Linked DNA regions of Oryzias latipes. The protein of the gene in region 1 interacts with the protein of each later gene in a pairwise test. Links are inferred from orthologs where the notes say so. Each region holds a gene or a part of one and is shown in the gene's direction. Other genes may lie near its edges.

Evidence for each region.
Region 2: the proteins of rxra (region 1) and nr0b2 interact in a two-hybrid assay, tested with the Homo sapiens proteins (2 studies listed by BioGRID and IntAct). The link is inferred for Oryzias latipes from reciprocal best matches to the Homo sapiens genes RXRA and NR0B2.

The regions. Positions count from the first base shown.
Region 1 is NC_019870.2:22,893,982-22,897,976, forward strand, and holds the start of rxra (retinoic acid receptor RXR-alpha), read left to right. Parts: upstream 1-1,191; 5' UTR 1,192-1,477; coding exon 1,478-1,505; intron 1,506-3,995. UniProt on the Homo sapiens protein: Receptor for retinoic acid that acts as a transcription factor.
Region 2 is NC_019874.2:9,914,880-9,918,349, forward strand, and holds nr0b2 (nuclear receptor subfamily 0 group B member 2), read left to right. Parts: upstream 1-1,388; 5' UTR 1,389-1,390; coding exon 1,391-1,991; intron 1,992-2,072; coding exon 2,073-2,314; 3' UTR 2,315-2,961; downstream 2,962-3,470. UniProt on the Homo sapiens protein: Transcriptional regulator that acts as a negative regulator of receptor-dependent signaling pathways. Specifically inhibits transactivation of the nuclear receptor with which it interacts.

The DNA.
Region 1 (3,995 bases):
TTCCATTAGGCCAACGGGTCACTACATCCTGGACAGGTCACAGTGCAGGCCACCTCAGAACCAACGACAAAAGTAAACAAACAGCCACACATACCCACACTGTATCAGTATAAGTGTGTCGATCATAAATGTGCCAAGCTTGTAATCCTTTGAAAAATGTAACTGATATTTCTTTTTTGTTGAACCTTAGGGGGGAAGACAGTAACCTGATAAAACAGTCCATACTCGTGCAAGGCGTCACTATTATCCAAGTTGGTATAAGCTTTGGAATACTATACAAATGACCCAACTGTTCTTATCTGTGAGTATTACCTTTGCAAAGTGAGCAATGAATATATCATTTTGTTTTGTAGTGTTCCTGCACCCAGTTTCACTGAAGCTGTTTTGAATAGCAGATAGTAGATCAGATTCAAATGTTATCAAAACAGACATGTTGTGACATATGTTTTTATGATCTGGGATCTTCTGGAGAAAAAAAAAAAAAAAGGTTGGACTTAGGGCAGAATTTGGCCAGCCAACCCACGAGGAATAAGTAGAATATCGGGGCAAGTCTGTGTGGAAATCATGCTATCATCACATCGGTTCAACTATCCATATATATATAGACTATTTTGATCTATTTCATACGGTTTTTGTTGAAGTTCTTCTCACAGGACCTTCTGCATTTGCTTGGCTTAGGCCTGGCACAAGTCTGTCTATTTGACCATCTTTCTGTACATCCACCCTTGTGTTTTATTGTCTTTTATTTTATTTAGATAGATTTTTTGTCTGTTTTGTGTGGGTTTTTTTGTAAATTTTATTTGTTATTATATGATATTCTTAAATATATAATATTTCTTGATATACATACATTTATACATACATCTTTCTGGGGGGGACAGTAACTCCGTTTAGGGGGGGCATTAACCCCCTTCCCCCGTCCATACCTATGTCCGGGCTTGGATGGACTCATCTTAGATAAGAGGGGAGGCAGTTAAAAAGTCTATCTGTTAAGCTAATAGCGCAGCTGTAACACGTGTGACCAGGTTAAAACAACAGAAGATAAAAAGAAGGAAGGAGTTGAAGGGATTTTTTGGCGAGAAGCTGCGCATTTCTGTGAATGTGTTTGGATTTCTGAAGTTCTCAGCGAGCCTCACATCTGTGTTTGTCGTGTCGCTGCGGGCCTGTGCGCGTTGGTGGGAGTACCCCCTGCGCAGGTCCCCTTCGCTGTGCACTTCCAGCAGTTGGAGTTGTTCTACACCCGAGAGAGGGGGAGGCAGCAGAGGAGTGAGCGCAGCAGCTGAGTGAGCAAACACAAGTAGAAACATTAGGTTATCTTCTGACACTATCAGCCATCGACCTGTCACTTTTATCGCTCCGTGAAGCTCCAGAGCGGTAGCGGCGGCGGCTCCTTGGTCTGGTTTGTTCTGCTCGAGCAGTGAGACAAACTCCCGAACGCGGTCGTCTCAGCTGGCATGAGCTAACCTACGAGTCCGACATGGAAACCAAACCGTTCCTGTCATTGGGTAAGTTACTTTGTTTCTTACAGACCTACTTAATGCCGAAGAAAAGACAGCGAGAAACGTGCTGGGGCTCAGGGTTTTCGCTTCGTGGTTTCTTTCTTTCTTTTTTTCTTGACAGCGCGTGGAGCGACTTGCCAAACCCCATCAACACGTTTGTTGCTGCCGCTGCTGCTTTGTGTAATTTGCCCTCTCTTTAACTTCTAATTTATCCCTTTATCGAAACGGACAGATGTGCGGGTCTCGTGCTTTTTAATTGAGCTGGTGACATTTCACTTCGACGCGGAGTGACAGCGCTCGCGGCGTGGCGCGCGCGCACCTCGCGGCTCGTTTAACTTTTACACTTTGGTTAAGTGTTGAGAGATTTTGTGTTTTAATGCTAAAAAAACAAAACAAAAAAACCTCGAAGCTAAACTTAATTTTCTTGTGCCTGTTTATACCAACCGAACTTCTAAGAACAAAGGGAGATTAACTTTACATCGTGACTTTAAAATGTTTCCTCTTGAGGATATGTGATTTTTTTACATTAAACATACAACAAAATTACAAGCCTTTTTTATTTGATATCATTTTTGTTATTGATAATTTTAACTTCATTTCTTTTTTATTTATTATTTGCTTACTTGGCATATAATAATTTGTCAATATTGCACAAACTTGTAAATTGCACCCAAAAGTGACCTCATGCGTTGTTGCTTGACTTAAAGTCTGCTGTTGGGGATAATCTCACTTCAGTTGCTGACAGGTGACCTATGGTCATTGCGCAAGACTTTCATTTTTGATTTTCTTTTTACATTTAAATATATTAATGAATTAATCTTAAGGAAACCCACTGTTTTGTTGAAGCTGAACCTGCAAGAAGGGGGGATTTCAATTGTCAAATTGGAGATTTTTAGCATGCTTTTTGATTTTTCTGAGTTACAAAATTCTTTTTTATTAGATATGTATTACTTCTTATAACTCATTTCTGGGATTAATTCTGAAATCTAGTCTTGTTGAAGTTAAAAGCAGTTTAAATACACTAAAGCACTTCAAACTGTAAATCATTAATGCTGACTGCTACTGTAAGTTTGTGAACAGAGCAGACCCTTGTCCTCCGCAGCAGAGACAAGCGCAGGGCTGTAGGTTTCCCCCCGCCTTATTGTGTCTGCGGCTCTTTCATGGAGGCGTCATGTTACACCTCGACACATATCATCAGCTGCATGAACACACCGAGGAGATTCACAGGGACTTCTGAGACTCGGGGTGGCTGTCTTAGGTTACAGGCGCTGCTCGCTGACTCAGTCCCACAACACCCTTTATGTGGCTTCACAGAAATACACTCAACCACCTGCACTGCACACACTGACAGGCTGTTGTTACAGGTGCAACACATTGTATTTCAGACTGCGCACATTAGGGGTGTATCAACTTAATCGATGAATCAATCCTACGATCCAACCAGATCAATCTTTTTGAAGGAAGTCGTTAGTTGTATCGACCTTTACCCTCATACTGTAATTTTTAAAGACAAAAATCGATTATATCGATATTGGAAAATACCATTTCGATTGAGACATGGTAGGTTTATTTTACTACAACGTAAAAACGACCGAATGCATCAGAGCAGACAATGCACACGTGATGGCAGCAAAAACTTGTCAAGCCATCGTTACAGTCCAATGTGTGGAAACACTTTGAATTTAGCAAAGACATGTGACATAACATTGTGGTTTAATGCTCTAATAATGTTCCCTTTGGACTATTTTAATGTGGTAAAACAGCAGTGGGCTCAACTTAATTAAATTAAACTGTGAATGGATTTGACATTGATTCTTGTTTACTTGATTGTTTGTACACATATTTAATTTACACTTGATTATCTTGCATGTAATATAAGGAATCTAGAAAACTTCACCTGGACTGTTCAGTACCCGTATTTATCTCAGAGTCCTACTGGTTGAAGTTCTGACGGAAAATGTTCTGGATTGATTTCAGATCAGTGAATTGGACTGTTTAAAATGAACCAGTATCGACTATGAATTGAAACTGCAACAACAAATTACGATATAGATCAAATTGTTTTTAAAATGAATTTTTACACCCCTAATATTTAAACTTGTACCCTTAAAGGACAGTTTGAGTGGCAGGCTCTAATTGGTTGTTTTAAGGGCGCAGCCATGCGTGAAGACCTTGAATTTATTGATTACTGCTTACTCAGTGTCATTTCCTAATGTGGCGTTGCATTAGGAATTCTGACATGGATCTGTTTGAGATGACATTACAACTATAGACCGCGTGCTGGCTTTGATGACGACACCTCCCATCCAGCACCGCTGGCTCAGGACTGTGTACTGCCTGCCTGATGCCATCATCGAGCACCCCCCCCCCTTTCATATCGGACATTAAGGCATGAAGACCAGAGGAATGACACTGAAAGGAGAATGTGTCCTTTAGTCACAGCATTATGGGGAGGATCATGACAGTTTGTCAGTGAAATGAACAGTGTGAAAGGAA
Region 2 (3,470 bases), on another chromosome or scaffold:
TGTTTTCATTTGAGTGAGCTACAGAACAAGTCTCAAACAATATTGCTTTAAAACTTATGTCCAGATTAAAAGCAAATAATTTATCCTAAGGCATTTGAGTTTGAGCCGGGTAAGATTGAAAAAATACAGTGTGTCCCAAGTACCGGGTTTAGAAACACAACCTTAAATGACTCACAGGACACAGCACTTCTATATTTGTCCAAGGTTTGTTGGGCAAGTATTCAACCTATTGACCCAAAGCAACTGTGATTTGAGATTTTGTTGAATTTCATGTCAAGAGTTCGTCATTTTTAACCAGTCTGTTTCTTTTTATTTGTGGAATTTCAAAGGGTTCTTATATCATCCAAAATCAACTTTTTTGAGCTTTAAGTGTATTGTAATTTTCATTCCTCACTGTAAACAACCCCAAAGGGGTATTTTGATCCATTCATGCATTTCTGAGCATTCCTCTAAAAACCTGTGCTCTGAGCACCAGCCCCTCCCAACCCACAACAACGAGTGGGTCCTCACATTGTGACGTCTCAAAGTGAGGAACAGCCCCTTCCAGAGTCTGCGCTGCAGCCCCAACCCCAGGGTAACACACATCCACTTTCTCTAGCTTATTCTGTTTCTATGCACATTCATCTTTGCAAAAGTTCGGATATTGTTTGTTTTCGAGGGAAAAACGCAGACACGCTGCTGTGGCTGACTCTAAGTTGACATCATGAAACGGGCGGACCCACCAGGAGAGAAAGCCGGTGCCTCAGAGATCGAGTCATTCTACTTCCGGGTATGAAATGAATTGTGAAAATAACTCATATTTCATAATAAAAACGTTCTTTAGGGCCAAAAGAATATATATCACATATATGGATATAGTTCACTCTGGAAGGCTCAATAAAAGCATGATGAAGGCCCCTTAAAAATAGTTTAGAGTAGCTTCTTTTTTATTTCTCTTTTAGTTTAAAAGCCAATACGTAGAATTTTCTCAAAATTTTCTCCCATATTGTCTAGTTTTACCACTGACTGAAATGACACTGTACTTTTGAGGATTTAAGTCAGGGGTCAATGCCCTCTTTGTGCCCTGGCCTTGTTCCAGTTTCACAGGTGTGATCTGGCAGGTGTAGTGACACAGTGTGGGTTGGATTACCACTGCAGTCCTTGGTAGCTTGGTACAGCCTGGGTTAATGACACTTGCTGGCAGATAAGGCCCATCCTTTTTGATATGTGTTACTCCAGCAGCTACTTTCATTGAGAAAATCTTATCAGTTTCCCAGGGTTGTTCCAGCAGTCACCTGGCAAAGCGAGCGGTTGTTTTTCACATCGAGTGTATTGACATTTCAAGGTCCACTGAACGGAGGGGGGTTGGCCCTATAAATATAGAAGAGGCAGCAGCACCACTCAGGAGCTCATGAGGAGTCTATCTGTGAGAGGACGCACGCATTCATCACCATTATATGTCATCGGGGGGAAAAAGATGGATAGCAGATGCCATTGCTTAACCAACAATGATAGGGTTTTGAATCCCATCCTCTACAACATCCTGAGCCAAATGGACAGCAGCATGCAGAGCCAAGACTGCCTCAACTACATCTCAGTGCCTCACAGGTGCAACTGCGAGGTGCGCCGGACACTGTGCTTAAAAAGTCCAAGTGAGATCTGCAAAGAAGCCTCAGCAGTTCTGGTTAAAACCGTCCACTTCATTAAGAGCCTGCCTGCGTTCAACCAGCTGCCACTGAGTGATCAGTTTGCGCTGTTGAGAAGCTGCTGGGCTCCCCTCTTTATTCTGGGGCTGGCTCAAGAACATGTGGACTTTGAGGTTACAGATGCCCCCGCTGACAGCATGCTGAAAAAGATTCTTCTGAACCGCCAGGAGAGCCCCGAGGCTAAAAGGGAGCAGCCCACCATGGCAGGCGTCAGCAAACTCAAGTCTTGCCTCAAAAAGTTTTGGAGTTTGGATTTAAGCCCAAAGGAGTATGCATACCTGAAGGGAACCACGATATTCAATCCAGGTACGAAGGTGCTGGATTCAGTAAAAGGATGAAGTATGTGTGTGTGCGTTAACTGACTTTACTCGTTTTCCTCGTCCACAGACGTTCCGGAATTAAAGGCTGGATTGTTTGTGGAGGGCTTGCAGCAGGAAGCTCAGCACGCCCTGAGGGAGGTGGTGCAGCTCCTTCACCCGGGTCGCGAGGAGCGCTTCGCTCGAATCCTGCTCACAGCTTCCATGCTGCAGGGCATCACACCCACCCTCGTCACCGAGCTCTTCTTCCGGCCCGTCATAGGCCAGGCTGACCTGCTGGAGCTGCTGGTCGACATGCTCTTTTACAGATAAGAACAGTGGACCTCAGCTGAGGGACTTTAAACCACATGACACCCAGGCTGGGAAAGGAATGTTGGACGGCTGCTGTGAAGCAGATTATAAAACCCCACAAAAAAAATGTAGATTTGATGAACAAGCCACCATGATTGCTCACATTCACGCAAAGCTGAGGTCACTTTATCTCTGTGTCAACAGATTTCCTTCCCCTAAGTAGAAGGATTTTCACACAGTGGCAGACTTGTCTCTTTCTATTAGAATATTTGATTTTGTCAATCTTTTCTGTTATTTCATTGTTGTAAATATGTGTCTTTTGCTTTTACAGGAAACTTCAAATAAATATATTTTTGTACACAAATGACAAATTACAGCCTCACGCTCTTGACTCACACCAAGCCAATGCCACTGTCACACTTAATCTGACAAATTCAGCTGTTAAACGCATATTATTGAGTCAAGATGTTGCTAAACTCAGATTGACAAATTTCTTAGTTGCAGTTGGATCTTGTTGGTGAACGTGGATATTTATCCACAAGAGCTCTTTCTTTTTCAAAAATGATGACAGGAATGTGTCACAGAATAATATTTCTTGTTCATTCCGAAGCTTTGTCTCCCTCTATTGGAAAACACATCCACAAGCAAATAAAAAGAAAGATCCTCGATCCCATTTCAACCTTATTTTACAATCTTATGATACGCTGAGAAGAAAAGGGTAAATCCAAGCCAACAAAGCAGTATTGTCTTAACAATCTTCATGCAAAAATCCCCACAGAAGCTGTTCACATTCATCCATTCTGTGGTATGATGGTTGTGAAACAGTCTCTCTTTACTTGACACCATATACAGGTAAAACAGGAATGCTGATGGTGGGGGCAGTGAGCCAGGGGAAATGGGGTAACACAGCACAAACAAAACATTTAAAAAAAAAAAAAAAAAAAGAGCTGGTGGTGGAAAATCTCCACTTTTTTCCTGCGTTTCCATCTTTTTAATTGAAGTCTTATCCCTTCAAGACTGTGTGAGAGGGATTGCCTTTTATAGTAGTTTCTCAAGCTGAACTACAACTGTTTATTCTGTTCCAGCAATTATAAAACAGACCCTGAGCAAATACATGTAGCAGCATTTTGCATTATACTTTCACTGATAAATATTTGTTTGGCCAAACAGATTTAGG